Struthio camelus: one gene and its partners. The main gene of each other region encodes a partner of the protein of the gene in region 3 in a complex. Links are inferred from orthologs where the notes say so. Each region holds a gene or a part of one and is shown on either strand. Other genes may lie near its edges.

Evidence for each region.
Region 1: RRN3 (region 3) and UBTF share a complex: the UniProt entries of both Homo sapiens proteins name them as parts of the pol I pre-initiation complex. The link is inferred for Struthio camelus from reciprocal best matches to the Homo sapiens genes RRN3 and UBTF.
Region 2: RRN3 (region 3) and POLR2F share a complex: the UniProt entries of both Homo sapiens proteins name them as parts of the pol I pre-initiation complex. The link is inferred for Struthio camelus from reciprocal best matches to the Homo sapiens genes RRN3 and POLR2F.
Region 4: RRN3 (region 3) and POLR1B share a complex: the UniProt entries of both Homo sapiens proteins name them as parts of the pol I pre-initiation complex. The link is inferred for Struthio camelus from reciprocal best matches to the Homo sapiens genes RRN3 and POLR1B.

The regions. Positions count from the first base shown.
Region 1 is NC_090966.1:4,609,048-4,616,710, reverse strand, and holds the start of UBTF (nucleolar transcription factor 1), read right to left. Parts: upstream 3,013-7,663; 5' UTR 2,784-3,012; intron 2,718-2,783; exon of another isoform or gene 2,618-2,717; intron 2,389-2,617; exon of another isoform or gene 2,172-2,388; intron 1,697-2,171; exon of another isoform or gene 1,586-1,696; intron 1,492-1,585; exon of another isoform or gene 1,396-1,491; intron 1-1,395. UniProt on the Homo sapiens protein: Recognizes the ribosomal RNA gene promoter and activates transcription mediated by RNA polymerase I (Pol I) through cooperative interactions with the transcription factor SL1/TIF-IB complex.
Region 2 is NC_090942.1:58,570,725-58,578,708, forward strand, and holds the start of POLR2F (DNA-directed RNA polymerases I, II, and III subunit RPABC2), read right to left. Parts: upstream 3,011-7,984; 5' UTR 2,936-3,010; coding exon 2,916-2,935; intron 2,761-2,915; coding exon 2,691-2,760; intron 2,474-2,690; coding exon 2,343-2,473; intron 720-2,342; coding exon 648-719; intron 169-647; exon of another isoform or gene 57-168; coding exon of another isoform or gene 14-56; exon of another isoform or gene 1-13. Other genes in the region: C1H22orf23 (UPF0193 protein EVG1), read left to right, coding at 3,488-3,599, 4,003-4,065, 4,600-4,788, 5,261-5,395, 6,607-6,707, 7,020-7,124. UniProt on the Homo sapiens protein: DNA-dependent RNA polymerase catalyzes the transcription of DNA into RNA using the four ribonucleoside triphosphates as substrates.
Region 3 is NC_090956.1:11,723,189-11,731,015, forward strand, and holds the start of RRN3 (RNA polymerase I-specific transcription initiation factor RRN3), read right to left. Parts: upstream 3,006-7,827; 5' UTR 2,802-3,005; coding exon 2,709-2,801; intron 2,179-2,708; coding exon 2,122-2,178; intron 952-2,121; coding exon 862-951; intron 773-861; coding exon 643-772; intron 137-642; coding exon 77-136; intron 1-76. Other genes in the region: transmembrane protein 238-like, read right to left, coding at 7,091-7,100. UniProt on the Homo sapiens protein: Required for efficient transcription initiation by RNA polymerase I (Pol I). Required for the formation of the competent pre-initiation complex (PIC).
Region 4 is NC_090944.1:147,740,606-147,748,315, reverse strand, and holds the start of POLR1B (DNA-directed RNA polymerase I subunit RPA2), read right to left. Parts: upstream 3,003-7,710; 5' UTR 2,872-3,002; intron 1,938-2,871; 5' UTR 1,860-1,937; coding exon 1,770-1,859; intron 1-1,769. UniProt on the Homo sapiens protein: Catalytic core component of RNA polymerase I (Pol I), a DNA-dependent RNA polymerase which synthesizes ribosomal RNA precursors using the four ribonucleoside triphosphates as substrates.

The DNA of each region.
Region 1 (7,663 bases), on a different chromosome or scaffold from region 3:
TGATCATTCTTGGGGGGGGGGGGGGCGGGGGGAAATCCATGGAGCACCGGGCAGGGATCACCCAGCAGCGCAGGCCCGAGGCCTTGGGGGGGGGGGGGGAACCCGAGCTGGCGGGCAGTTTTGGGGGTGGGGGGGGGCAGGCCCTAAGGGGGAGTGATGGACCATCCCCGAGGGGGGGGGAAAGAGAGGGAGGATCACCCCCGGAGGGGGGGGGGCTGGAGGGGGTCACCCCCCCCCCGGGCAGAAGCCCGGCCCCGGCGGCAGTGGGGGGGGGGGGGGGGCTGGAGGGGGTCACCCCCCCCCGGGCAGAAGCCCGGCCCCAGCGGCAGCGGTGGGGGGGGGGGCTGGAGGGGGTCACCCCCCCCCCGGGCAGAGGCCCGGCCCCAGCGGCGGCGGCGGGGGGGGGGGGGGCTGGAGGGGGTCACCCCCCCCCCGGGCAGAAGCCCGGCCCCAGCGGCGGCGGCGGCGGCGGGGGGGGCTGGAGGGGGTCACCCCCCCCCCGGGCAGAAGCCCGGCCCCGGCGGCAGTGGGGGGGGGCTGGAGGGGGTCACCCCCCCCCCCGGGCAGAGGCCCGGCCCCAGCGGCGGCGGCGGGGGGGGGGGGGGCGGACCGCGGGGCGGGATCCCGGCGGGGCGGGGCAGGGGGGCGATGCGCGGTGCGCGCGCACCGGGAACCGCGGGCGCGGGGGGGGGGGGGGGGGGCGCACCGGGAACCAACCCCCCCCCCCTTCCTCCGCGGAAGGAGTGTGTGTTTGGGGGGGGGAGGAGGAGGAGGAGGAGGAGGAGGGGGGGGGGGAGGAAGGGGCCGGGCCGGCGGGCGGGCGGAGGCGGGGAGGCCGCACATGCCCTGCGCCGCCGGCCAGCGCCGAGTCTCCTCCTCCGCCAGGCAGCAGGAACCGGGTGGGACCCGCGCGCGCGGGCGGCCCCGGCGGCGCCTCCCTGCCCGCCGCGGCCGCGGCCCCTCCGCCCGCCCCCGGCCGCGCCGCGCCGCCGGCTCCCGCCGCCGCCGCCGCCCGGGCGCCAGCGCGCGCCGCCGCCGCCGCCGCCTCCCCCGCCCGCCGCCCGCCCAGACAATGGAGCGGCCCCGGCTCCGGGCGCCCCGCGGCTCCGCTTCCCCCGGCCGCGCCGCCCTGCTCCGCGCTGCTCCGCTGGCTCTTCCCTTCCCCGCTCCGCTCCGCTCCGCCGGCCCTGCCCTTCCTTCCCCTGCGCTCCGCTCCCGCCCCCGGCCGCGCTGCATGCGGCCGCCGCTCCGCGGCCCCCTCCGCCGCCGCCGGGCGCTGCAGCCCGCTGGGGCCCGGGCAATGCGGCGCGGCTCTGCCCTCCCTTCTCTGCTGCTGCTGCGGTTCCCCCCCCTCCTCCTCCTCCTCCTCCTCCTCCCTCCACCCGCCGCGGTTACCGGGCTCGGCTGGGCTCGGCTCGGCGCGGCCGCTCTCCGCCGCGGCACACAATGGCCGGGCTGCGCCCGCCTCCGCCCGCCGTTCCGCGCCGCTCCGCGCCGGGGCGCGCCGCGCCGCGCCGGCTCCGCCGCAGCCCGCCGCCCTGGGCGCTGTGCAGCCGGCGCGGTTATAAAGCCGAGACAAACCCACCTCCCGAGGCTCCGGGCTGCAGGGGGAGGCGGGAGGTGGTGGTGGTGGTGGGGTGGGGGGGGGGAAGAGAGAGAAGCTCGCCGAGCCGCCGCAGCCCCAGCCCCGCCGGAGCCGCTGGGGGAAGAAGAAGGAGGAGGAGGAGGGGGAAGGGGGGGCGGGGATGCCCGGCTGGGGGCGGCCGGGCAGCTGCAGCGAGCCGGGCGAGGGCAGCGCGACCTCCCCGCACCGACCCCCGGGGAGCGGCTCCTACCCACCACCCCCCCCCTCCACCACCACCACCACCGCCGCCCCCTCCTCCTCCTCCTCTCCCCCCGACCCCTCCTCGCACGGCGGAGCCCAGAAACACCCACCCACCCAGCGGGGGGCTGGAGCCCCGCTCTCGGTCCGGGGGAAGAAAGGAAGAAAGAAGGGGGGAAAAAAAGACAAAAAAAAAAAAAAAAAGAGGGGAAGAAGGGGGAAAAAAAAAAAGAAAAGAAAGCGGGGGAATAAAGCGGAGGTGGGGGGGGGGAAGCGGACGAGCCCGGGCACGCACCCTCCGGAGCGCGGCCGGGCGGCGCCGAGCTCCCCGCCGCGGCGCGGGACTCACCCGGGCTGGGGAAAAACAACCGCCCAGCGCTGGAAGCCTGCCCCCGAAATCCAGCTGCAGCAGCCGGGGAGGGAGGGAGGGCGAGCGGGAAGGAGGGAGGGAGCGAGGAGGAGGAGAGGGAAGGAAGGGAAGGGAAGGAGGAGGGGGGGGCACCGAGGCCGCCGAGCCGAGCGCTCCCCCCGCGCCGAGCCCCAGCGCGGTGCCCCCCGCCGGCCCGGCCCGGCGCGGCGCGGCGGGGAGCGAGCGAGCCCCGACGGCGGCGGCGGCTTCCTGCCCGCGGGGCCTGCGCGGCCGCCCCGGAGAGCGGAAAAAAAAAATTTTTTTGAAAAAAAAAAAAATTAACAAATCTAAATCAACCTCCTCCCCCCTCTCTCCTCCACCGACACCGCCACAAAAATCTTCCCCCCCCCTCCACCTTCGCTGCGATCGGAGCGGCGGCGCCTTACCGAGAGCCCGGTGCGCGGCGGCAGCGGGAGCCCGGGGAGGAACAAAGCGCCTCCTCCAGCCCCGCCGGCGGAGCGGCGCGGCGGCGAATGGCGAGCCCGGGCGGCGCGGCACGGCACGGCGCGGCGCGGCGCGGCTCCGCTCCGCTCCCCCGGCGCACGCACGTACCTGCGGGCCCGCGGCTGGGGCCGCGGCTCGGCGGGGCCGGGGCTCGGCGGGGCCGGGGCGGGGAGCGCCGGTTGAACGGCGGCCAGCTCTGCAGCGCTGGCCCCGGGCGTGGACGCGCTCCAGTCCCCGCAGAGAGATCGCGCTTCCCCCGCCTCCATGGCGCTGCGTTTCTCTTCCAATCAGCCGGGCTCTGCGCGCCGGGGTCCGCCGCCAGCCTCGCCGCTCCCCAGCGGCGCCCGCCGGCCGCCGCCGCCCCGCGCTCCCACCGCCGCTCACTGTGTTTTTTATTGCTCTTTGCTTTTGCAACACTGTAGCGAGAAGAAAAGAGGAGGAGGAGGAGGAGGAAGGAGAGAGGAGGGAAGGGGGGGGGAGGAAAAAAAAAAATCTCCTTACATGTGCAACAATCCTCTCCTGGCGTTTGCATAAAAAAAAAAAAAAAAAAAAAAAGGGGGGGTGGTGGTGGTGGTGGTGGTGGGAAGCGCGGGGGGTGGGGGAAGCCGAGCCGCCTCCCGCCCCGGTGGGTCCCCTCCGACCCCGCGGGTTGCCGCTGGGCCACCCCCGGCGCCGGGCAGCGAGGGCGGGCAGCGCCCGGCGTTGTGGCCGCGCTCCCGGCCCCGGGCGCCCGGCCGCCGCCGCCCGGGACACGGCCACGCTCGGGGATTTCCCCGGCGGGGCGGGCGAGGGGCAGTTTCCTCCCCTCCTTCCCTCCCTCCGCTCCCCTCTCCCTTTCTCCTTCTCTCTCGCTCTTAATTTTTTTTAATGCAATTTCTCCAACTCCACCTTTGTTGTGCTGGGCGTCATTCCCCGCAGCCAATCCCGGCCGGGCAGCTGCCTGCAAATTACCGGCCATCCCAAGCTGCCTGCAAATTACGGGCCATCCCAGGCTGCTCGCACACTACCGGCTGCCCCGGTTTGTCTGCGCCTCACCGGCCACCCCGGCGCTCGGCGCCTTCCCGGCCGTGCCCGGCCACCCCGGCGCTCGGCGCCTTCCCGGCCGCGCCGGGCCGCTGGCGTGCCACCGCCGTTCCCGGCCGTCCTGCGCGCCGGCAGCTCCCGCCGGCACCTGCCGAAGGGCTCGGGGGGTCGGGAGCTGGTGGGGAACCCCCCCTGCCCAGGACCCCGTGGGATAGGGAGGTAGAGCCCCGCCGCTGCAACCGCCGCGGAAATGCCAGCAGGCGCCTCTCCGTCCGCTCGCCTGGGAAATACAGCCAAAATCCGGCGGGTTTTTCACCGCTCTCTACAAGGAAAGGGGAAAAACAGCCCCCAAGTGCAGGTGCAGTTGGCCCCCTCCCAGGCTGACGCAAGCAGCTTATTCGGGCCTTGTCTTGCAGGCGAAAGTCGGAGGCGGAAGAGCAGCCGGCCAAGCTGCCGGCCGGCCCCTCCGCCGGCTGCCGCGCTGCCGCGCAGGCCTGCTCTCCAGCCGGCACGGCCGCCGAGGCGTGCCAGGCGGCTCCGCGGAGCTAATCCCTTTGGCCAAAGATTAAAAAAAAAAAAAATACGTATATATTTATCCTGCGTGGAAAGGGCCGCTTTGCTGAGCTGGTTTTCCTGTTCTAAATTAGGTGAAATGTCACTGTTTTGCAAGAGGGGGAAAATTACCAAAAAAAAAAAAAAAGAAATCACAGACAATCAGGCCAAACATTCGAACGCTGGCATTTTTAATCTTTAATTATTTTTTTCATCTCTCAAAGACCCATTTGAGTGGAAAGCAGCTTTCAGAAAGCCTAGCAGATGTCTCACCTCAACAACATGCCCGTTTCCCCTTTTTATTTTGTTTTATTTTTAAAGCTCCCACGCCGCTGCAAGCCGACGATGCCTCCTAACCAAAAAGCCATTTTGGATGGGAAACTCCCAGCTAGCTCTAGCTGCTGCACAGCTAGCAGTGATCAGCAGTCACGGACGGCCTGAAACGCGGTTATATTTTTTTGCTACCAAAAAGGGAACGTGAGGCGTGAGAACAGGCCGTAAAAACCTGCAGCAGGTTGGCAGAAACGGAGACGCCGCACAAACACCTGCTCAAAACGCTCCCCTCCTTGCTCTGCTGCGCGCTCCTCCGCGCCAGAGGACTTTCTGCTTGCAAAGGGAGTTTTTAATCGCTGTTATTTGTACACGTGGGTATTCTTGCTGCCAAAAGCACAAAGATTGCATGCGAAGGTGCGTGCAGGCCTGCAGGCTCTTTGCTGCTTCTCCCGTTTTTGGGAGGCTCCCGGCTTTCAGAGCGTTTCACGCCGATGCTGCGGATGTTGGGCCACGGCTCCGTCTGCCGTCAGCGGGCGCTCGGCCGGAGCCGGGTGCGAGCCCCTGCCGCGTGATGCAGGCCCACGGGCTCAGTGCCGGCGCGGGTGCGCATCCGCGGCCCCGCGCCGCACCGGGCAGCTCCGCGGGCAGCTCCGATGCTGCAGAGGGGTTGCACCAGTCGGCGTGAAAAATTGCTAGCGGCAGCACACCCAGGTGGGGAAAAAGGCGGTTTGGGAGGCGCAGAGCTGCTGACGGTGTCCAGCACGGCCGGCCCAGGCGAGGGACGCCGGCCAGCGGATTTGCCGGCCCCGGGCTGGAAAACGCTGGCCACCTACCTCCATCTGTCTCCGGCCGTTTGCAAAAAGCGGGAACGGCCGCGTCGGGTTTAGAGCCGGTCTGGGAAAAGCTGGGTGTAGCGATGGGTCCCGCTTAGCCCTGGAGAGCCCTCGGGGACCCCAATGTCCTCCCCAAGGAAACGCTCGGACCCCCCCCCCCCGCAGCCCTATATCTAGAGCTGGGGTGCAGGCAGCTGTCCTGTGCCGCCCTGCTTGCCATCGCTAACGAGATTATGTATAATCAGGGTTAATTTGATGCCGGAGCGGTCTGCACCAGGGCGGGGGGTGGGGGGGCTGCCATCGCCATCTCCACATCCAGGCTGCGCCGTGACCCTCTCGGCCACCCCGAAACCCGCCGCCAGGGCCGCCACCACCGCCTCCCCCCCGCCGATGCCCGCCTCGGCCTCGGCCCCCGCCGCGCCACCGCTCCCCCCCCCGCCGCCCGCCGCGGCCTTGGCAGCCGGAGCTCTGCACATGCGTCCCCGGCCGCTCGGGGCGGGCGGAGGTGGAGCGTGGCCGGCGGGAGGCACGGCCCGGGGGGCCCCGCTGCGACGGCGGGGGGGGGACCCCACGGCCACCCCGGCGGGGCGAGCGACCCCGGGGCAGCAGCCCGGCGCGCGGGCAGCGGGCGCTGCTGCAACGCGGGTGCTCGCGGCCGGGGAGGCAGGAGAAGGCCCCGAAAAGGGCCGAGCGGCGGCGAGGCCCCTACGCGCCCGCGGCCCCGCTCCTGCCCGCGGCGGCCCTGGGCCTTGGCTGCCCTCCCCGCTGCCCCGGCGCCTCTATATTTGGCGGCTCCCAAGGTGACCGGCGGCGCGGCGCCGCTCTGCCGGACCGCCCCGGGCAAGGGGCAGCTGGCCCAGCAGCCGGGCTGGCAGGCCCGCGGGGGACCTGGTGCGGGGACCCCCTCGGCCAGGGCGAGGGGTGCAGGGACCCCCCCCAATGAGGGTGATGGGCTGTTCTCTGACAGCAGGACCAGTGCCTCGCAGTGTCCCCACTTGGGACCAGTGCCTCCCAGTGTCCCTGCCTGGGACCAGTGCTGCCCAGTGCCCCCGCCTGGGACCAGTGCATCCCAGTGTCCCCACCTAGGACCAGTGCCTCCCAGTGCCCCCACCTAGGACCAGTGCATCCCAGTGCCTCCACCTGGGACCAGTGCCTCCCAGTGCCCCCACTTGGGAACAGTGCCTCCCAGTGTCCCTGCCTGGGACCAGTGCCTCCCAGTGCCCCCACCTGGGACCAGTGCATCCCAGTGCCTCTGCCTGGGACCAGTGCCTCCCAGTGCCCCCACTTGGGACCAGTGCATCCCAGTGTCCCTGCCTGGGACCAGTGCTGCCCAGTGCCCTCACCTGGGACCAGTGCTGCCCAGTGCCCCCGCCTGGGACCAGTGCTACCCAGTGCCTCTGCCTGGGACCAGTGCCTCCCAGTGCCCCCACTTGGGACCAGTGCTGCCCAGTGCCCCTGCCTGGGACCAGTGCATCCCAGTGTCCCTGCCTGGGACCAGTGCCTCCCAGTGCCCCCACCTGGGACCAGTGCTGCCCCGTGCCCCCACCTGGGACCAGTGCCTCCCGGTGCCCCCGCCTGGGACCAGTGCTGCCCAGTGCCCCCGCCTGGGACCAGTGCCTCCCAGTGCCCCCACCTGGGACCAGTGCTGCCCCGTGCCCCCGCCTGGGACCAGTGCCTCCTGGTGCCCCCGCCTGGGACCAGTGCTGCCCAGTGCCCCTGCCTGGGACCAGTGCCTCCTGGTGCCCCTGCCTGGGACCAGTGCCTCCTGGTGCCCCTGCCTGGGACCAGTGCTGCCCAGTGCCCCTGCCTGGGACCAGTGCCTCCCAGTGTCCCTGCCTGGGACCAGTGCAGCCCAGTGCCTCTGCCTGGGACAGCGCATCCTGGTATCTGTTCGCCCTGCTGCTGGCCCTGGGTGACACAGGTGGCTCACCGGCCAGCGGGGTCCGAGCCCTGTTATTTAGCTAGTCACAGTGTCTCTGAAGAGGCTTTGGGCCATCTGTTCCCAAAACCGTCCCCGCAGCCCCTGCTTCTGCCTGGGTGAGCTGGCACCCAGAGGGCACCTTGGGGACATGGCCAGCACCCGCAAAGGGCCCCAGCAGGGACAAAGGATCCCCACAGGGATCCTGAATGCTGGCAGGAGCCAGGCTTCACTGTCGGACCCATCTGCTTGGCGGGGTCGGGGGCGAGCACACGACGCGAGCTCCAGGTGGGAGCCGCGGCAAGCAGCCTGGGACCACCGTGGTGAGCAGCCTGGGACGGCCACGACAAGCAGCCTGGGACCACCGTGGTGAGCAGCCTGGCATGGCC
Region 2 (7,984 bases), on a different chromosome or scaffold from region 3:
ATGATCTAGTAGGTCACTGACCATCTTGGTGAACTGTGGACCAGCAGGGAGCTTTGCTGTGGAAAGGTGGGCCTGTAAGTAGTCATCCAGAAGCTGCCTCTCAGAAAGGCTATGACTGTATTTCATCTCTATGCAACACATTCTGGTAACCAGATAAGATTCCCTAACCTGGAGGCAGGAAGCAGAGATGAGTCTTTTGCAATCACAGTAAGCCAAGCATGGAAGGGTGCAGGAGAAAAACATTCTTAACATGGCCTCCACATCACAAACCTGACCTTTATTTTATTTCTGCCAGCACTCGAACATAGGTTTGTTAGGAAGGCTGCTTTGCATCAGCTCCTTTCAGGGAATTAAACTGATTCCAGAAAGATGGAGACGTGGGTTCTCAAGGGAATAAAAACCACTTGGACTTCCAAGTAAAAGAAGTCAAAGTACTGCTAATAATCAGTACTTTGCAAGAGCTCCTAGCATGGGACACAGCAATACCCAAGCTACCTGCAGCTGGGGAGCGGTCCCAACAGGGGAGAGGGGACAGCGACTGTAATACTCACTGTTACAGAGTGAGTGCACAACCTGCATAGGATAAGCCGCTACATGCTAGGATGAGTAGGACTGCTTGACACCCACTGTCAAAATCTGAGACTTACTTGAGTTCTTTCATGGCAATCAGCAAGGGGTCTGTCTCTCCTTCCAACTCCACCATCACAGGGGCACACATCCTGAGTGGAAATAACAACAATCAAATAGAGAATACGCAGAGATGGAAGAGGGATAACTAAGCACGTTATCTATTATGTCTTTCACCCAAAGTTCAGCAAAGTAGGAGGGAGGAACAGCACCTTGGCAAATCCAAGGTTTGCACTTTTATCCACTTTGGGAAGAAATGTCCCCCACTCCAATCTTGTGGTGGCAGGACTGCTTTCACTAGATGCAAGTGGCTATGGACTGAGCTTTTACTTGAATGTTCTTCTTGACCCGTCCCTCAACTGCAGCTGGGGCTTCACAGCTGGTCAAAACCACATCCTCCTGGAGTCCCCCTGGACTGTACATAAATGTGAGGAAGGAAAGAGCAGTTCTAAAATTAATCCAATAAGGAGAGTGGAAACACTATAAAATGGGCATGCCATCTACAGTTCCACCACATTTCTTACTTCCTGACCTGATCTTATTTTCCAGGCTTTACCTGGGGTAAAGTAAGAGGCTGGTTTTATGACACACTATCTCCAGGAAAAAAATAAAGCACTTCGCAGGAAGTTTAACAGCACAGCCAACATGGCTGACTATTATCTGTCCCATTAAGCAACAGCAGCAAAGGAAGCTCACGTTATGTGTGGATAAGGCCACTGGGGGCTGCTGCTGGCCTAGATTCGGTGTTGAAGGCAGAGTAAGTAGCGAAGCCCAATCAGGCACTAGAGCATATGGATTAAAGGTCTGGCACAGACCCATCTCATCTCTCCCATTTTTCTGGCCTTCTACCAGTTGAAGGAATGTGCACAAAACAGCCTCACAGAGTGTTGACTGTGCAAAGAACAGCCTGGCAAAGTGATGACTAAGGAAAGATCTGATCACCACCTACGAGCTTCTAAGTGATATGAAGGAGAAGCATTATTTTGAGAGAGTGCACATAACTAGGATAAGACTCAGAGATGCCTTTTCAGACAAACTTTACCACAGCCTAACAACCTCTTTCCTTGCGGGGCAGTCTTCTGACATGCGTTATTCAAATAGATCCAGAAAGGTAAATGGAAGATGTCGAGAGCAGCCAGCTTCAACAGCACTTAAAATAAGATTTAAGTACAATTACAAATGAGGTCCCATTGATCCAAACGCTGTAGAAACATATAGCTGCAATACAACTGCAGTCTAAAAAGAAGTTGAGATCATTACTCTTAATCCCTACAGCCCTATGAGATCAACTGAAGACATTCTGGAACTTTACTCCCTCAAATCTTGGCTTTTGCTAGCAGATTCCGAGCTTTCCAGCACAGACTGGCTCATCTTATGAAAGGCAGAAATCAGGATCAGCCTATCACATCCCTGTTCTTTTACCTATCACATCGGAAGGTGCACTACAACTGCTGAACACCTCCCTTTCTAGACACAAGTACCATAACCTTAGCTAGGAAAAGATACAGAGATTTCACATGGGACTAAGCACTCAAAGGCTTTGTTTTTCAGTGTCGGCACAGATGGTGGTCCACTAGCTCAGAGATCACATGAGGAACTTCAACAGCTCCAGGATACTTCCAGGAAAGAGAAAAGCAACTTAAATACAGATGGGAGACCCTAGAAGCCCGCAGGCCAGCCACGGTAACAGCTGGGACACAGAGCAAAACACTTACGCTATCTGGAGGGCACGAGTGCCCAGGACTCGGGCTCGCTCATACTTGGTCATGTAGGGGGTGGTAATCCGCTTCTGGTTTGCCTGCTGACGCTCTCCAGACGGGAGGATTTCTACATTCTCCTGCCCTTCCTGGGAAAAACAGACCAGCACAGCAGCGTTACTGCATCCAAAGAGCAGCACAGCCAGGCTTTGGGAAAACACATGACGCCTTTAGGGCCTGAAAGACAGGCTAACCAAGGGTTTTCCACAGAGCACTGCCAGAAGACCTGCGAAGAAGCCCAGCAGCTCCAAGCTGGCTGCGCGGCCGGCAGCCCCGGGGAGCGGCTGCCGCCGCGCCTGCACTCACCTCCTCGGCGTTTTCCAGGTCCTCCAGCCCCTCGTCCTCCTCCACATCGTCGAAGTCGTCGCCATCAAAGCTGCGGGTGGACACGGACGTCGCACAGCGCCCTGGGCCGCCATCGCCTCCTCCTCTCTCTTCCCCCCCCCCCCGACGGGGCCCCCTGTGCCGCCCGGCCCGGCCCCCGCAGCCCCGCTCCGCCCCCAGACCCAGCGCCACCGGCCCCGCGCTCACTTATCCTCGTTGTCAGACATGCCGCCTCCTCCGCCTCCTGCCAGGAAGTAGCAGCCACTTCCGGCGGCCCGCCGTGACGTTACCGGAAGTGAACCGGCGGCCCCGTTGCCGTGGCGACGAACCGCCGCGCTCCCCCCCCCCGCCCTGCCCGTCCCCTCCTTCCCGCCCGCGCGTCGCCATGGAGACGGGAAGAGGGTTTTTTGTGGGTGTGGTTGTTGCTATTGTTTTTTGTTTTTTTGTTTTTAATTGGCTCGCTGGGCTTCTTCCCCTTGTGGCGTTAGAGTGCCGCGCTGTGACGTCAGGCTGGGTCGCGCCTCGGAGGGAAGGTGAGAGGGCCCGGCGGGGTACGGATGCCTCGCGGGCAGCGCCTGTGACGTCACCTGTCACCACGCAGTCCCTGGAAGGGCAGCGCCTGTGACGTCACTTGTCACCATGCTCCCTGGGACGCTGCCGGAGTCCCCGGGGGTGCAGAGGCTGCGCGACGGGACCCCGAACGGCCGGGCCCGGCGGCGAGGCGATGCCGTTGGGGACGTTCGGTGGCCTTGTCTCGCTGCTGTTCTCAGGGCTTCACGATGGCGTCCCGGGAGAGGAGGAGGTCAGCGCCAGCTGCGGCCAAAGGAGCTCACTTCTGGCACCCTCCTGGGACAGCTCAATACAGCCGGGAGACCCAGGAGCTGCTGAAAGGTAACGGCGGCGGGGGGGGGGGGCCTGAAGGAAGTGAAGAACCAGAGCGTTTGGATCCGGTTATTACTGCTTCTATATAGCAACTGTGTGGTCAGTTTAAAAAAGAAAGTCTTTCCTGAAATAAAACACTCCCCCTAATTCATCCCCTCGAGGGAGAGCTGAGAGAGAAACATACAGAGCAAGATGCTAGACCTGGCAGTGAACGTATCTATATATGAGCGTCCTGGTGTGATGTTTCTGAAATTGCAAAATAATTTGATCTTCCCCGCTTTGGATTTTGATTTGTAAGTAGAGATTTTCCCCAGGGCTGATTTACCAAGCCGTTTCACCTGTCCTAGCTGCCAAAGGTGAAGAGTGGAGCCTTCTCAGGCTGTAGTCTTCACAGATGCGCCATGTTTTTCAGCAATGATGGAGGAGTCCAAGCTTACAAGTTTCCAGAGGCGGCACCTGATGGACTGTGTGAAACGTGAGTAACATCCATCTTGCTCTCCACCCTGTGCTGCTGAGTTTGTGTTGCTCACCATGAGACGAAGAACGTTGGCCTGCAGACTAGGTGGATGGGCAAGAAACAAATGAATGGGCAGTACTTGGGAGGAAGTCATGTTCTTGTCAGCATCAGGTCCAGCCTAACTCTCCTGATCTCTGTTTTCATATGTTGTAGTGGAAACTGTTCTCATAGAGAAAACCGTCCAACCTTGGCCTGCCTCTTCCTTTCATTGTTGTACTTTTGCCTTTAAAATAGCAGTAGAGCTGCTGCTGACATTGTGCTGGGCGAGGTGTCCCCAAGGGTCAGTCCAGCGAAGAAAACGTAATGGTGGGACTTGAACCAGTCTCGCTCATGTCCGAATGAACCAATAACTGGGTAAGACATCTGTGGTACTTGGGATCTTTGCTCACTGTACTCCGGTGGATCACTAGGCAGACCTTCTGCTGGTCCAAGGCCATCAAGCCATAGGCTCCTCTGTGTCCGACTTACCAGTATTTTTCCTTTGACCTCCAGGAGGAGATACCCTGCCCCTCCAGTGCAACCCCACATCCAGCAAAGAGCCACAGCCTGCAGAGTCTGCCTTCTCTCCCCCAAAGCTTTGTCTGCCAGGCAGGCTTCCAGCTAAACCACATCTTCGACCTGCCAAGATCTGCCAGGCAGGAGATGCCTATACCAGAGAGAAATTCAAACCACAGGCAAGGCGTAAGTCAGCAAATGTCACTAATAAATAAATCCTGCTGCCCAGTCCCTTACATCCATGCGCTGTTTGCCATCTCAGTAACCTTAGGGGGGTTTCTTAGTTGCTCTTCATCCTCACGCTTTCTGTCTTCAAAGATGCATAAAAAGAGAGCTCTGAGGGAACATCTGTAAACGCTCGTTGCCAACGCCTGCTTGGTTAGGAAGATGATAGGTAATAGGAACTCATGTGATCCTTGCCTAAGAAGGGAATACTATATATATTTTCCAGTTTATAAATGTGAATCAGACCTTTGATGTCAGTTTGGTTGCCTCTTCACTGCAAGTACATCTGTGTAGGGCTGCGCAGTTCAGTCTGGAGATGGGCTGTCATTAACATAATGCTTCCTCTGCCATCATTTGGAGAGAAGCAATGCGGCCAGGCTCCTTCCCTGAGGAGACAGGCTGCTAATAGTTTTCTTTTCTTTGCAATTCACAGGAGATTTGGAAAGGGAGAAGCAAAGACTCCAAAATATCTTGGCGACAGGGAAGGATGTGGTGGAGCACAAAGTGAAGCCGACGCTGGTTCAGGCGAAGGAAGAGGAGACACCTGAGCTTGACCGCTTTGAAGAACGTATGTAAAGGATGCTAGAGTGAGGCACATGGGGAGGCCTGGGAACTCAGCTCCCTCTAAGAGCTGGAGTGGCAGGCCATGTAGCCAGCAATCTGAAGCCCACTGCGGAAGGAGGCACAAAGCCCAGTTTCCAAGAGAAAGGACTTTTTGCTGTGACACTGATCCAGCTTTCCTAGCAGAATTTATACTGCAAAGGTTTGCTGACAGAGTCACGCTCTCTGGATTGCCCATACAAAATCAACTCTGTTGGCACAGGACTACCTTAGCGGTTTGCAAGGGTAACCTCGGCAGAAAGCCCAGCTGCTGTGGATCCTTCTTCCAGCCGGTCTAACTCCATGTAGACTAGGACTTTTGCCAGCCTCAGTGTGGCTTGGGCTGCATTTTCTTTTGCTCCCAAATCAGTGCAGTTACACTAGCAAAGCTTAAATGTAGAGAAGAATTTTAGGTAGTGATGTACTTTGGCCTACAGAGTCTTCTGGGATGGCAAAACCCTGCCTTCTATAACTCTGTGTGCCTGAAACTGCAATGCATGCATGCACCCCAGCTAGCTCTTCCTTAACCAGGGCAGAAGAAAGAATGACAACACGCAGATAATGTGTTTGCAAGGGGTGGTTTGGTCCCTGATGCACGGAAACCAGCGTGGTTGGCTCCACGCGTGCTTTGGATCCTATAAAACTTGTCTCAAACTCACTGTTGTCCTTGACACATCTAAAGTACTCGTGTACTGTGCCGTGTCAGGTGTTGTTTCAGGAACTGGCTGCGGGTCTGTGCTGCAAAAAAGCAGCTGAAGTGCTTCTGTGCATGAGCTGGTCCTGCAACCAAATATGGTTGTGTGTGGTTACTTGGTGCTGCATGTGGACTAGTGAACCTCAACAGATTTAAGACGATTTCTATCTCCATCCACAGACTGGATAAAATGCCTGCAAGCAACAGTGTTGCCTGCACATAAAAAACTAGAAAGTTACTGTTCTGGCAAGGTAGAGAAAGGGGCTGGGGGCGTGGGGGAAGTACTCCTGTTACGTAAAAAACTGCTGAGATGTTTTGGTGACATGGTGAAGATAATTGTTAGAGTAGATATCATCCTTCCCCTGGTGGGACCTCCGTTCCAGTGGAGCTAGGAAGTTGGGGGTTCAGAGCTAAACAGAAAAGTGCTTGCTTGCCTTTTGGCTGCATTCTGTTTGCACGTTATTTTCTCTTCTCCTTGGGCTTAGTGGTGAATGAAGTTCAGGAGAGGAAGGAGTTCCTGGCAGATATGGAAGCTTTAGGACAGGGCAAGAAGTATCGAGGGATTGTCCTCACTGAAATCTCACAGGTACGTGAGGGCCCTGGGGGCATTGGTGCTACAGCATGTAGAGGGAATCCGTGGTGTTAGAAATCTGAGCCCTCTGATAACCAAGCGTGGTGCATGGGAAAGACTGGGAAGAGGCAGAGAAATGAGCGTTCTTTTTCATGGCACGGGGCAGGTGTGAATTTAGGGGACTGGGGGAGAGGGGTTTTCAGCTTTTCTTTCCATGTCTGCATGTAACTTAGTCTAGGGAAGAAGAACCTTTGTTCTTGGCTTTGGCAAAAAAAAGTAGGAGCTCCTGGCATGCTCACCACTCAGGCCTTTCTTTGCGCTTTGCAGAAACTGCGGGAGATGGAGATCATTGACAAGAAGAGAAGCAAGGAAATGAGAGAGATCGCAACAAAAGACTTTCCCATTGGGAACAAATCTGATGGCCATGACTAGGCCCAGAAAAAACACCGGAACAATTTAGTCCCAGGTCTTCTTCCCTTATCATCTGAGTCTTAAGGACTGGTCTGTGTCTGTCCGTCTCTCAAGGATCCCCTTGAAGAGGGGGCAGTAGCACCTGCTGCCTAAAGCCAGAAGGCAGGAATAATTTATGCACAGCCAGTAACAGAAGAAAGCTGTTGCAAAATCCTACGCACGCATCAGATCCCTTCTGCAAGGGGCAGTCTTGCTCAACAATATTAAGGAGAAGAAAACATAGAGGAAAAGCCTTTAAAAATATGACAAAGCAGAGCCTCCTTTTCGCTATGCAGTGCTGCAGAGCACAACAATTCACAGAGAAAAACGTCACTCCTTTTTTCCATACAACCCAAAGCCCGGCAGTTTCTATTGACGGTGAGACGCTAACACGAGTGTCACTGTCCACATCTATGACCTACTTCTGTCTGCATCGCTCTGGGAACGGCTATGCTGGCAGGTGGCAGGGAGGAAGATGCAGTGTGGCCTCATGCAAACATGAACTTCTAATATTACTGTAGTTCTGAGTGAGTGTGTGCATCAGCAGCAGTTAAAATAGGCAGGCACTCAGGAACACAGCTGTGCTGAGGAGGGAGAAGGGATTTCAACTCAGGGCTTTCTGCTCTTGCTGTGAGCAGGCTCGCTGTGTTTTTTTTTTTTTTTTTAGTTCTATCTGCTTTTTAGTAATACTCTTTAGTCAACCACTCCCCAAAGCCAGGCAGCACACCCTGTCCCTGGGACAGCGTGTGTGCAGAAAGGAATAAAACCTAAGCCATGATCGGTTTTTAACTCCAAGGTTTTATTTCTGCTCAGGTAAAGGGAAATCACAGAGTTAGTACAGT
Region 3 (7,827 bases):
AACCAACATGCACGCTACACTTGTTTACTAAAGGTAGTACAATAGTATACACAACCCATGCTTCCTTTATACTCACTTTCTTCATCATCATCAGAATCTGAAATGTCCACATCATCCTCTCTGATAGTTATCCGAGCTAGCAAAAAGTGAGATTATTATTGTAAAACCATACAAATCGTATAGGTAACAGTTCTGATGCCAAATCAAAGTACACTGGATGACAGACTTCATTGGAACTAAAGCATCAAAATTATCCCCATGACTTTCTATAATTGACTTTTTATTCAGCTTATTGCAATCAACTGTTTTATTCATAGAGCCAGAAGGTTCTCTAAAACATTGACATGATCTTCATCTCAGCATTTGTTTTTTCAATTATAACAACATAATACAGTTCACCCCTCTCCAAGACATTTTCAGAAATGGTATCTGACTGTATTAGCCATTAGAATGTGTGTTCTGAAATCTAAGGTACATAAAATGGACTGTGTTCCGATTCAGTCATTGAAGTGAAAAAAGGAATCAACAGAAAAAAAATGATAATTGGATTAATTCTAGCATGGATTAGTTTTCTAATAGAATTAATCTAGGAAAGAGACATTTTGATAAGCCAGTAAAGAAGAATTAAAAAAAGTAACTTACGGGGAATAAACTGCGATACAATCATGCGGAGGCATGGCCTAAGATGGACAGTTTGTGCTGACACTAGATTGCCAAGAAAACCTAAATATTCTTCAACTACATCTCGGCTTCTTCTCAACCACGGCAGCTTCTGAAAGCAAGTAAAGATGAAGATGTCAAACACAGAGATATTTTAAGTACTAAACTCTTAATCTTTGCATATAGCAAACAGATATTTACCAGCAAAATGTTGACCAGTTGTTCAAGATCTTTGGTCAAGTATGCAACAGAAGCTCGGAATTCATGTAGCCAATTAATGATCTGGGCATCCTTAAAATAAACAGAAAAAAACAAGTAACAATTTCAATAAATAATATGACCTATTACTAGAAAATAACCTTAAAATGACAAAACAAAGATTAAGACTGTAAATAGGAATTATTTTCACGTTAATGTGACAAGAATTTCTCAGACTAAGTTTGTCTCCCTACTAATAAAAGTTCTTCAACGCAAGAATAAATGCATAGCATCTTTCAAAGCAACAGCCTGCCTGAAATATTTAACTTAAAGTCTGGGCAAGGGATGCAAACCGGACTTAAACAGAATATATTTAAAAGAGATGGAGCTCAGAGAATGTTAATTCTCTTTTCTTTTCTTGTTGCTCTTAGTTTAAGCAGAAAGGCCATCCAAGTCTTGAAATAAGAGCGATAGTGGAACAGCAGCAGATCTACAGAGAAATATTACATTGATTTTGCCTGTAGTCTCCGAAAAGTCTGCTAAAAACAATTAATTTTACACAACATCCTCTTTAAAAAGAGGAGAAACTCAATTTGGCATTATACTTGCTGCAACATGCTTCTTATAGTTTAGTGGTTTAATAAAAAAAAGAAACAAAGATGGCAGACAGGATGGGTACTTATGGCTGTAATGAGCAGCTCTTAAAACAATACTTCTGGGTACAAACGCTAAATGTACATGCATCTCACTGCCTAATTAATTAAACATTTAATAAGAACTGAAGGAAGTAAACATTAATGTAACTTAGAGGCTGTAAAAGTCAGAAGGAAAGACAACAGACTGATCTACGAAAGTAATCCATACATAGAGCGACAGGCCCTTGGCACAAAGCAAAAAGTTTCCCACTCTAGAGCACAAAAATAGTAAATGTCGCTTTTGACATTTTTGTCGCTTGAATACCTATCAAGGTCATGCATATAAGATGCATGTCTCTGTGTAAACAGACAGTTGCTGGCTTTTTGTTTGGACTTTCAATTTTGATAGTTCCCACAAAGCAAAGAGCTGTTAAATGCTGCTAAATGTTTAAAGGAAAGTATTTAGGCAAGTGACAGGCACTTTTCTAAACTGATCTACTTGCAATAAGCCCATTAATAATAATAAAACAGTAACTGCTTTAAACACCAGAATCACTTGCCCGATGATTACACTCACATCTGTAACTAAGCTTTAGGTCATCAGACCCTTCACTACAAAAACGCTTACCTTTATGTCTGGATCTGACAGTTGATGCTTTAACAACTCAAAATCACTGGTTTCACCCTAGTAGGGGGAGAGAGAAAAAAAAAAAAAGAGCAAATGATGTTTATGGACTTGTGCCAGAAAATACAAACCTAAGCTTCATCAGCACATCTAAACAAGCTGACATTGTTTAGCAGCGACACAAATAACTGAGAAAGCTCAAGTAAAGCAGAAGTAACAGAACGCTCTCCCTGAAGGGCAGCTTTAGCTATCAGGTCGTTTCTGCTCCTCTCCCTATAGAGGCAGTTGCGATCACTTGGCGTCCTCTGGTATCAGTCAGACTTTGCAGCCATCAAAGGCGTCACTCAGACAGACTCGTCGGGGAATTTGTTTCACTTAGAGAACAACGCAGTCTGGCATATGCCCAAAGCACTCAGCTACCTTCTTTTTCCTACGCCACCAGACACCCTCTCGTGTAAGACAAACTAAGTCTTCATGTCCAAATTAAGTGCCGCAAACTAACAGGATGGCAACACACGCGACGGAAAGGCGGCGAAGAGCTGCGCAAGCACGTCCGCGATCCACGACGGGGAAAAGAGAGCGATAATCACCTTCTCGTACTTCAGCAGGATATCCGTCAGGGTGCCCCCGAACCGCACCGTCTTCCTCGGCGGGGAGCTGATGAACTCGTCCCCTCCCAGCATGGTCACAGGCCCGCGCCTGAGGAGAGGCGACGCCGCACGAGCGCCCGGCACCAACGGCCGCGTCCCAACGGCCCCCACCCCCCGGGTCGCGAAGGAGACGGGGCAGCACCTCCTCGTGCGTCGCCCCCGCCGCCGCCGCCCCTCGGCGCCGCCTCGCCTCGCGCCCCGCTAACGGCGGAGGCGGCGCCGGCCGCCGCGGCCCCCGCACGCCGCCAGCCGCTGCCGCCGCCCCATGCCGGCCCCGGGCGGAAAGGGCGCTCGCCTCCCCGGAAAGGGCGGCTGCTCCGCCCCTCGCACCATAGAGCGGCACGGCTGGAGGGGCCGCTGCTGCTCTGGCCTGGGCATCGCTGGTGCGGGCGGACTGAGGGGGCGGGGCGGCAGGGCCGGGGCGAGCGGACAGGGGAGATACCCGCCGGGCAAAACGCTGTCGCTACTGCCCCCGTTTTCTTAGGTTTTCCCTTCTATACCTGCGGGTAAGTAAACACCGTCGTAGACATTTAATACTCACAGCTGGAAGGTATTAAAGAGCAGTGCGAGTAAACACTCAAGCTCAGTGTTAGACTTGAGAATTGCCTAGGGAAAGAGAATTCCAAGGTCATGTCAATGTCACCGTCCGTCATTCAGAACTGCATCTCTGATTTGGGGCCAAGTGACTTTTTGTTTATGTGTATACCTGAAGACATGAAATACGAGATGACCTGCGAGCTGCTGCACTGAGAACTGGCCAGATCCGTCGCAAGTCCCCACATCCCAAAGCACATCGAGATCCCATGCTGGCGATACCAAGATTGCAACAGCCAGCTAGTAAATTCAGACTTTTCCAAGTTTATTTTTTTATCGTAAGCTGTGCTACTACGGCCTAGAACAAGGGAAAAAAAAAACTGTCAAATGATCCCTTTTACTCAAGATTAAAGATTGCTGAAAAATTCAGTTAAAAAAAAAAAATTTTGACCTTGGGAAGCAATTAAGCGTTTGTTAGAGCAAAGGGACAGGCAGAGAGTTTCGAGAAGCTTTCTGGGCTTTTTCATCCTCTTCCTGTAAGCTAGGGCTATATTAAAGCACCACACTGCTAGCACAGCATTTGAAGAATGATATAAAATAAACTATGGACTTTTCTATCTCTATGCTAACAACTGCTTTTCCTCTCAAAACAATATGTATATATAAAAATTGCTGTTGAGAAAATCATTAGCTGCTGCTATTTCAAAGGCCATGTTTTTGATAGACGCCAGCTGATACTATTAATGGTCGTAGCAGCACATATAATTCAAAAAGAATTATACGTGAAAGCCTCCAATAGCTTTCAGAGCAACCAGGATAAATATGAATAGGAAGCAGGCATTTTCCATCTAGTTCTTCAGTAACATTCAATTTGCTCAAAACTTTTTTTTTAATCCAGCTGAATGCTTCCTGCTCCAATACATGTAAAACAGCTACAGCAACATGAGATTATTTGACCTTTGTTCTCTTCTGCAGCTTATTGCTTTCGACACGAACTGCTACTGGAATAAATATCTCCCTCCCACCAAATGCCCGCCTCCCCCCCAAATACACCCATCAAACAAAAATCAAACAGAAGAGATTTTTGCAGAATTTACTAATAAATTAACTTTTACTAATTTGTCCCTTCATAAGATGTTTCTGTTTAAGGAAAGTAAACAGCATATATTGCATTAAAAGTCTCTTCAGATGTAGCCCACATACAAGATTCTAACAAACATTCACTCATTTATGGTTACAAGATCAGGGTTTGGCTTTTTTCCTTTAGTTATCATGTAAGGAAGTGGAATATAGGATGCCATTTTTCAGCTAAGCTTTAAGGCGTAAAGCAGGTATAAAAAAAACTCCTGTACAACCAAACTTCTGTAACCAGAGTTGGGTTCTTTCGGATTTTGGCTGTTTTTAAACATAGAGTAAGGACAGTCCTTTAAGTCTAGAAAGAATTCTCACAGTATATGCAAAATTCAGAGTTCACAGAAGTACAAGCAATCCTAACAATGAACAAGTAATTTTTTTCCTCCCATAAACAAGATACAAGTTCTTTGAATGGACTTCGTTCTGCATTGAGCTACAACTGATAAGGATCCTGGGAGGCTCAAATAGTGTTAAATACATGCTAATGTTTAACAGTTAATCATTGTTTGACTTGCTGGTTTCTATTTACTATTGCAGTCTTCCTTATTTAGGAAATAAAAAATAGACCACATTAAACAGGAACTATTTTACATTTTCAAAAAAAATAAAAGTATGATAGCTTACAATAGTTATCATTGCTCCCATGCAAGTATGTTGTATCTTATCGTTATTTAGACACATCCTACTAGTAACATTTAAGTGTTTTTCTATGATTAACTTGGGTCTTTCTTTTCTGAGGTGTCAACTCTTATATTTAACTGTTAAGACACGCACAGTAGACTACTCATAAATGCAAACATCGGAATCCCTCACAGTTGCTGAGTGGGGTTGCAACAACAGGCAATATTCTATCTACCATCCTACACAACTATCACTGGGTATCCAATGCTGGATTCGGGATTAATCACTACAGTAAGTAGGAGAACGGCTACCCACAAAAGTTTTGGGTTAAATTATCGCTGCTACTCATCATTCCACTTACTAAATATTACATCTCATAATTCAGTTCACAGATCAAAACTATGGGGGATCAGTACAAGCAGTTACCTCTGTTCAGAACAAGTAAATGAACGTGTTTCTTGTGAACAGCCCTGAAACAATGATCTATAGGTTTTTAGGGAAGGAGATTATTTAAACAGCACATTGTAACAACATATTGGTGTCACATTGCAGTTCCTCTAAAAGAAAAAGGAAACAACTTTAGATACCTTATAAAAGCTACAGTTATTAAGGAAGAAATTGAAATTTTACAGACCTTCAAGTCTAGCATCTATTTAAACTTGTTGAAAGATTGAAAGCATTTGGAAAACATTTTAAAATTGACTATGCATAGAAAGGTACAAGAGAAAGTTACAAATTATTTGGAACAGAAAGTCGGAAGACATTTCAAGAGTTCACAAGGAAGTAGAGCCACTGTTTTCCTACTAAATGTTTTCCTTAAATCCACCTCTATATTCAGTTAGGTGTGGCATAAAAACAGTTGTCTATTAGAAGTGGAAGACCTACCCATATTTGCTAATGGTAAGTTCAAACTCTTAGCGTTAGTTCAGAAACAGAGGAACTCATTAGGAAATTCTCCTACACAGAATTTTTAGGCACAATTATCACAGACTAATTGGGGCTGGAAGGGCCACCTGGAGATTGTCTGGTCCAACCCCCGCTCAAGCAGGGTCACCTAGAACAGGTTGCCCAGGACTACATCCAGTCGGGTTTGAATACCTCCAAGGATGGAGACTCCACCACCTCTCTGGGCAACCTGCTCCACTGTTCAGTCACTCAAAGTGTTTTCTTACGTTCAAGTGGAATTTCCTGTGTTTGATTTCTCGCGTCTTTAGCTGTAATATAAATCTTTTCCCACGTGCTAGTTCTAATTTCAGTTACGTTTGCATGTAGATTTGGTAAGATTTTTGTAAAGCAAAGCATTTGTTAATCTATAGATTTCTGAATGTTTCAGCACTAGAAAAATAATTCCTGTAACATCAATGGATTAAAAAGCCTCCTCTTAGAGCGATCATATTACATCATTTTCTGCTATGAAGAAAAAAAAAAACGGTATCTCAACAACACTATTTTTACTTGTTACTTACAAAATTTCAAATTCTAAGTTATTCCAAGATGACGAAATATATTAAGAGTCACAATAAATTGTGTATTTACACTATAAACAATTTATGCTACGTTTGTAACTTTGCTTCAATAGTTTTACATAGATATTTTTAAAGCACTTTACAAATAGAAGTATTGCACTGGCATCATAAAAGTTCACAGTGAATTTGAACTCCAGACCTTGGTAAGACAGTGCAAGAGCTTTTCATCCAAACATTCCTGGGTATATTAAAAAGTATTTCTATATTAAATGTTGCAGTGATTTTTCTATGAATCAGGTTTGTTTCCTTGTTAGTTCTCACTTCTTAAAAGATTTAGTTTATGTTTTGAAATGTTGCAAAATACAATAAAAACTATGCAGTCCAACACTGAAATAGGTACATCTGGCAGAGATACGTGACTGTGTGTCCGTTTTATACAGAGTCCATGACGGTCACAGAGATTATTCCATAATGAAAGAATCCTATTGCATTAAGTGGGTTATTCTCTTTCCACAATTTGCAACACTTCCCCCACTTTTAGAGGCAGTAACTTCAACAGTCGTGTCTTCAGCAGATCCTGAAGATAATATATTAAAAAAAAAAAAGTTACTTCCAAATAGTCTTAGAATAAATACTCATATAAAACTCTCAACTATTATTTGAAGTCAGCCTGAAAAGTACTTTTCCACAAGTTTAACAGCCAGCTGGGGTCAAATAAAAGACCCATCAAGTCAGTAGCTCGTCTCCAACAGTGATCAAGAGTGGACGTCTAAAGAAGGGCATAAGGACATGGCAAGCTAGTAGTATCTCCTCAGGATATTATCTTCGCTTCCACCTACTGTCCTGGGTCTTCCTGAGCTAAAGAGCTTCGCGTCTCTTCTGTTTTTTTCTCTTGGCTTTTTGAATTATCCCATATCAAGTCACATTATCCCATATCAAGTAATTCTTCGTATTAGTTGCATAGCATGTGAATATTATCTCTGTTGTTTTGACTCTTCCTTTGGTGCATGCTTTGTCTTGGAAGAGGTAGTAAAATGATCATTCTCTGCTCACCTTTTCCATGCCACTTATGATTAAGACCTCTGGCATATCTCCTACTCTTCAACTCTTGTTAGGCTCAAGAATCCTAATCTATTTGTTGTTCCTTTAATAGAATTCATTCCATATCTTGATAAATCTTCTCACCCTTCTTGTATCATAGTTATAGCATTTTTTTAAGATAGGAAAGCAGAACAGCATGCAGTATTCCATTAATAACTTTAAACATCAGTAATGACAAGAATCATCATATTATCTAAGTGACA
Region 4 (7,710 bases), on a different chromosome or scaffold from region 3:
GAACTGCTAGTCAGGTGAACAAGTCTGAAAGCCTAAGTAGACTGTTTCAGCTACTGCAACAAAGCAGCCTAAATAAACAAAGAAGCCACAGGATAGGAAGGGAGACCTCAGAAGTCAATACGTGGTTAAAGAAAAAGTGGAAGAAAACCATAAATGCTCAATGGAAGGAGATCAACAGTAGAGACTACAGAGATCTTTCCTAAGACTGGACCATTTGACCTGTTCATAAGTGATTTGAAAAGTGAGAAGGAAAAGACAGTTTGCTTAGGAAAACCATTTATTTACAATAACAAGATCTGACAGAGGCTTTGCAGAAGGCTCCCTTGACTGTAAGAAACGAGGTGACAAAAAGCACAGTGGAAAAAAACAATCTTAATTTTATGTGTAGAACGACGAGCTCTAAGGGAGCCACTGCCACTCAGAAAAGAAATCTTGGCATTACAATATGAAAACACCAACTCAAGAGAGTAAATCAAGTCTCAGGAACTACTAGGAAAGGGAACAGAAACGTTACTGTGCCTCTGTAAATCCATGGTGCACCCTACATCAAATCCTCAGCACAGTTCTGGTCTCAAGCCTAAAGGATGACCAAAGATATGGCTTCCAATGGCTTCTGCGCGAGGAGCTGCCACAAAGACTAAGACTGTTTAGCTTGGAAAAGCGAGAACCTCAAGGGGGATACGATGGAAGGACATGCAATTAACAGCAGCATAGTGAAAGCAAACAGGGAATGATTATACACCGATTCCCGCTGCGCAAGAGCAGGGAGTGGGAGAGACTGAACAACCAGTCCAAGCACAAGGCAATACTTTCTCACATAAGGCACAGCCAAATTGTTGGGCTGGGACCGTCAAACATTTGCACAGATTGAAAAAGCGAACAATCTTAGGAAAGAAAGAAAGAAACAATGAACGTATGAAAAAACAACAGCAGCAGCCACTGGGAAAACGTCTGCAAAGAATCTGTGCGACTGCCCCACTTTTATGTTCAGACAAGATACCGCACTTAGAGTGGCTTTTACCATAATAAATGGCAACGATTCAGAGAAAGGAGGAAAAAAAAATAAGCAGAAACTGCACACAATCGTTCTCTTGCAAGAGACCCATGCAAATTTACACCTTGGACAAAGCTACACAATTTTAGTGGCAAACAGCAATGGTCCTCTGATGCTTTCACAACGCAAGGGAAAATATTTGCCAGGGATGTTTCTCTACTCAAATTTCAGAGCAATCTGGAAAACCGATGAACACGTGATATGAACAAAAGGGATTTATAAAGCTGGGCTTTTACACCAGAGCAATACTGATTTTGAAACCTGGATTCCTGTAGAAACAAGATTTGGATTATCCCTTTCTCTGAGGTTAAACAGGTCTCCTTCCAAGATCTTCTGAGCTGGCTAGCTGATTTCTACCCAAATTTGACAGCAGGAAAGGGAAGATCATTAAGGTCCTACGAAAAAGGAGCACAGAGGGGAAGAGATGTTTTAAGGGCTCAAAGAGAAGAAGCTTTTGCAGTGGGCTCATACTTCATCAGAACTCGAGACTCCATACAGGACACAGTTCTGCCAAGTACCTGCAAAGCAGGTGAAATTGGAAAGTGATCTTTAGCCAAAGTACACGCAAATTTGTGGAGAAACAAGCTTCCGTTAGCTTTGCTCTTGCGGAACTAGTGATGTCATGCTACCGTACGTAATGATGTAATATATATCAGGCCCTGGAGAAGAACAGCGTACTCCCTGCGAGCCCCAATGCTTACAGCTCAACACTTACCATTATTTTCCCCCGATACGTGCTTCGGAGGCCCCTGCACTCCGCCGGGTAAACCTTCATATCCTGACAGATGGTCCCTTTTGGCACCATTGGGGGAGAGATGGAAACTCCCACAATAGCCAGCGAGATGCGATCGCTTTTGAGAGCAAACTCCAGCGGCTGGAGGTCCTGAAACAGACACGCGAGGGCGGTCAGGCTCCCCAGACGTAGGTCGGGGGCAGCACCCAGAGCGGGGGCTGCCCGGGGAACAGGGCGCCCCCGCTGCGACCTCTGCGTCCCGCCAAGCCACCCGCTGGCCCCGGCCCCACACCCCCGCTCCCCTGACTCACCTCGCCCTCAGCCACCCCCAAAAGCCAACCCCCGGGCCCTCGCTGCTCTACGCCCGTCCCACCTCGGCCCTCGCTTGTCCCCCCCAGCCACCCCCCGCCAGCCCCCAGTGGTCTCCCCCCACCAGCCATCGCCCCCGACAGCCCCCAACAGCCTCCTGCAACCGCTCCCCGACGGCCCCCCCAGCTGCCCTCCAACGGCCCCCCGCAACCACCCCCAGCGCCGCCCCCTAACCGCCCCCAGTGGTCCCCCCTGACGGCCCCCAATGGTCTCCCGCAGTCGCCCCCCGACGGCCCCCAGTGGTCCCCCCCACCGGCCCCCAATGGTCTCCCGCAGTCACCCCCCGCCGGCCCCCAGTGGTCTCCCGCAGTCGCCCCCCAACGGTCCCCCCCCCTACCGGCCCCCAATGCTCTCCCGCAGTCGCCCCCCGCCGGCCCCCAACGGTCCCCCCCCCCGACGGCCCCCAACGGTCTCCCGCGGTCCCCCCCGCCGCCCCCCGACGGTCTCCCGCAGTCACCCCCCGACGGCCTCCAATGATCCGCCCCCCGACGGCCCCCAACGGTCTCCCGCAGTCGCCCCCCGACGGCCCCCAATGGTCCCCCCCCCGCCGCCCCCCGACGGTCTCCCGCAGTCGCCCCCCGACGGCCCCCAATGATCCGCCCCCCGACGGCCCCCAACGGTCTCCCGCGGTCGCCCCCCGCCGGTCCCCCCCGCCGGCCCCCCGACGGTCTCCCTCAGTCGCCCCCCGCCGCCCCCCGACGGCGGCCGCCCGCACCTGCACGGCGCGGTAGACGCCCTCGCTGATGGCGTAGTTGAAGGAGTCGAGGTGGGCGCCGGGCAAGTCGCGCCGGGCCTCGCCGCGCGGCCGGTAGCGCGGCCGGCGGCGCAGCCGGTGCCCCCCGCCGCCCGCCGCCATGCCCACCGCCCCCGCGCCCGCCGCCATGCTGCCCGCCGCCGCCGCGCTGCCTGCTGGGATGCGGCCGGGGGCGGGGCTGAGGGGCGGGGCCGCATCCGCCCCGCCCCCCGGCGGACGCGCGCGCGCGCACCCCACGTGTGCGCCCTCCCCCCTCCCCACCCCGCCGCGCATGCGCCCCAGGGCCTGACCCACGGCCACGTGCGCTCTGCCTGGGACCCAGAGCCGTGTCCCCCCCATTCCTGTCCCCCCCCAGCCGTGTCCCCCCCATTCCTGTCCCCCCAGGGCTGTGTCCCCCCATTTCTGTCCCCCCCCAGCCGTGTCCCCTCCATTCCTGTCCCCCCAGGGCTGTGTCCCCCCATTCCTGTCCCCCCAGGGCTGTGTCCCCCCATTTCTGTCCCCCCCCAGCCGTGTCCCCTCCATTCCTGTCCCCCCAGGGCTGTGTCCCCCCATTTCTGTCCCCCCCAGCCGTGTCCCCCCCATTCCTGTCCCCCCAGGGCTGTGTTCCCCCATTCCTGTCCCCCCAGGGCTGTGTCCCCCCCATTTCTGTCCCCCCCAGCCGTGTCCCCCCCATTTCTGTCCCCCCCAGCCATGTCCCCTCCATTTCTATCCCCCCAGAGCCGTGTCCCCCCCAACTCTGTCCCCCCCAGCTGTGTCCCTCCATCTCTGTCCCCCCTCCAGCAGTGTCCCCCCCATTTCTGTCCCCCCAGAGCCGTGTCCCCTCCAGCCATGTCCCCCCAGGGCCATGTCCCCCCCCAGCTGCGTCCCCCCCATCTCTGTCCCCCCAGGGCTGTGGTGCCCCCATTTCTGTCCTCCCAGAGCTGTGTCCTATGCAGCTCTGTCCCCCCATTTCTGTCCCCCCAGGGCTGTGTCCCCCCCAGCCACATCCCCCCAGGGCTGTGTCCCCCCCCGAGCCGTGTCCTATCCAGCCATGTCCCCCCCAAGGCTGTGTCCTCCAGCCATGCCACCCCCGGGGCCGCGTCCCCCGGAACCACGTCCCTCCAGGGCCGTACCCCCCAGGCCGTGTCCCCCCTGCCGCGGGCGACCTGGCAGCGGAGGCGGGGAAGCTCTGGCCCCCCCCGGCCGCAGAGGCGGCACAGCACTGCACACCCAGTGCTGCAAACTCAGCCACAAAACCTCCAAATCACCCCCTCCCCGGAGCGAGAGGCAGAAACGCTCATGGCGGGGGCAGGCAGGAGCGTTTCCCAGCTGCTGTGCCAGTGCCGCGAGCCCCGGGACCCGCTGTCCCACGGGAACGCCACAGCCTCTGAGATTTCCTCTTTTTAATGGTGGTTTAGGACAGATCTGAATACAAACGCTGGAGAACCACGCGCCGCTCGGGGTCCCGCCGGCCGTGTACACACTCGCTCGTGCGACAAGTGCTTTGGAAACAAAAACTGGAGCCCGGGAGCTCTGTATGTCTGCCCCAGCCACGGCCTCCGGTCCTTTCAAAGCCTTTCATGGATTTCTGTGGACTATTGTGGCTGACACCGATAATGACACACAAGCATTAACCTACTTACAGCACGGCATCGCTCTCCTAGCGGAGAGCGGCACTTGGAAAACAGACAGGCAAGCAGTCCCCAAGGGCTTGGACCACAGACAGGCAAGCAGTCCCCAAGGGCTTGGACTACAGCAGGGAACGGGAGCCGGACCGCTCGGACGAAGGTGCTTTCGAGCCTGTCGGACAGCCCCAGGGTTTTCCACAGGCTGCGGCCGGCCACGGGATTTCAGTGGGAGCCCGAGAGCTGTCGCTCCGCAGTCACAATTAATCTGGTATGAGAGAAGCCATATGGGAGTTAAGTGAAGCCCAGGCTCCGGCTGGACCAGACCCTGCTGCAAAACACAACCGGAGCATCTGGGTCTAAATCCTTTATGGCTGGACTGAAGGGATACAACTGCTAAGACTATGGGCGGGCTCCTCCTGCAACCCAGCACCATCCTCTGTCAAGGCTTAGGAAAGAGAGCAAGACCTTGTCTATTGACCTTTAAGCTGAATCAAGCTAGAAAACATTTATTTTTGCATTTTTTTTCCTAAAAAATAAAAGTGTGCGAGCATCACTTACAAGGTGCCCCCACGGTCGCAACGCTCAGGCCTCAGCCGTATCCATCTCATTCTTTGCTCCACCTAACAAATAATAAATGGGGCTAATAAATTGGGCAAAACCCTAGGTACCGCACTGGCCGTCCTTTAGCGTTTACCTCCTGGGCTTTGCTTGGGGGAAGCACTTTGAGGGGAGATGGTGAGTGCTCACACATGGTACCCAGTGTTTTCCTCTAGAGGCTGTTGCTTATTCAGCAAACAAACCAATGATTAAAGAGTCCCTGAATCACTATCTCCCCAAAATCCAGCTGAAAAGGCAGGTTATGAGTAACTGCATCACCTGGGGCCATTGTTTTACCATTGAGTTGAAGCCCTGCTTTTAGCTGAGCAGCAGAAATAGCCAGTTGGGGACGTATCTCAATGCAACCTGAGGCGAAAAAGGGCGGAGGGAAAGGCCTTGGAGTTATGCAGAGGTTCCTGAGTCACTGCTCTTCCTGGCTGTATCAGCTGTGCTGATAAAAGATGCTTCTCTTCCCTGCATCCGGGCTGCTTTCCTAGCCTTATCCCACTACATCGGCAGGGATCTAATCTTACATACGCTCAGGAAGGGAGCGTTTTGGTTTCTGAATTCAGGGTGAAGGGAAAGTAAAGAGGGGTCTAGGACCCCAGGGATTTTTCATTTCCTTATGACGGGTAAAGTTTTCTCACTTCATACCTGAGGAGCTCTGGTCTGGTCTGGTGTAGAGCTTGTGAGAGTGCAGTGTCTGCTCAGGCACGTTCTGGACCAAGGCTATTGCTATTAGATCTTGCCTTTGCTGGGGGAAAAAAAGGTGCATTTTTAAGCTCACGGTAGCTACTATGTGAAAATGTCAGTGGAGACCTGTTGAGCTGGCAGCTCTGCGAGTCACATGAAACACCTGTTACAGCCTACATTTTACCTGGGACTATTAACACTATGCTTCGGGCTGGTCTGCAGGGCAATTTTCACACCTGTGTGCTATCACGAGATTAGGACACCCAAACAGCCCTTCCCTCATACCTCCTTCTCCCAGCTTATGACCCACCATTCCCCCACCGCTTTCTGGCTCATATGAAAACACAAGAGGTCCAGTAAAGCCAGAAACTGGACATGGTGCTCAGGGCATTGCTGGAAACAAAACCACCCACCAGCAAGTGGAGTCCAGGCGTCCTTCGCACGCAGCCTGGAGAAACAAAGCAGACACCCTGTTCACACGCGGCTATCGCTCCTCGTCGCTTCCCAGCGTGCAGCAACCGAACTGCTTTCCAGCTCCAACGCACCTTGCGTCTGCCAAACGCCATGCAGACTCCGCTCCGTGCGGCGCTTCAGAGCGTTGACGACGGGCTTGCCTGGCCTTTCGGGACGCTTCCTCTCTGCAACGCTTCTTTTGGGCTTTGCTAACCACTCTGTTCACAGCATGCTGCAATGAATGTCTGTCCAGGTACAGCATGACCAAAATCCATCACTCCGAGGAGGGGTGGGCACTTCAGTCCTGCCGGCAGGATCACTTGCTTACCAAGCGCTGTGCTGGCAGGAAGACCTCTGAAATCTCAGCCACGACCAAAGGTGAGTATGTCAAAGCGCCGGGATCGTTTGTGGGAGGCAGAAATCACACTGCTTGATTCACTTCCCATTAAACGCAGGCAGCCAGAAGCTTGTAACCTCCATGATCTCTTCTTGTTTGTTTTGCTTTGGGTAACACGAACAAGGTCTGTTTTATTTCATTGACAACCATCTTTCCGTGCAAGAGCCAAGAGAACATGGCCCTGACCTCGGCAGCACAGCCTGCTCTCCTGCTGCAATTAAAATCCCCAAAGCTTCAATTTTCCATGATGCTTTCCTGTTCAGTGTTGGAGCGAATCTCAAACAACCCACATCGGGCAGTAGTTCTGTGTTGCTTGCACAGGTGCTTATCTGTCATCTGCCCTTAACCATGATTAAAAACACGTAACCTAAGGTACATCCCCACATCACGTGCAACGTGCGTAAAGAAACTCCAAACTCAATACCACCGATGCGCAACCCAAGCTTTAATGGGGAGCCTGCGAGCGCTCAGTTCTTTGCAGACACTGCTGCAGCCTCCTAACAGCGAGACCTAATTGTTAAGCTTTGCGCCTCTGTTCAGAAAGTTTGGGACACAGCACAGGCCACACGCCACCTAGCAAAGCCAGCTGCTGTCATGAATGCCACTGTGCTCTGCAAAGAGCCCTGGCTTAGGAGAGACGCGCTCTTTGGGTTTAGGCTAAAAATTTGGGTAAACCGAATATTCCAGGAATTTAGGTTACACTCAAAACAGATGTTAGTTCAGAAATTCAGGGATCTAAAGGAATTTAACCTCCTTCCCCCCAAAATGCCTGCCCTTCCCAGCTGTGTGGCAGATCTATAGACAAGCAGTCTCTCGCTTGCTCTACAAAACCTCATACATCTTCCCCCCAGCTGGGACAGAGCAGCAGATTCCGTTCAGGGTAGAAAAGCACAATATCTGTTGAACGACGGAGAATAAAATTGGCTGGATCAAAAGGAATAAAAATCGGTTGGGCTGAAAGGTTTTACTTTTGAGTCTCAAATGTATTAAGGTGGAAGCTGAGAGAAGAGCCTATATTCACTGCAGTGTCTCCAAAGAAGCTTTCCGAGAAGA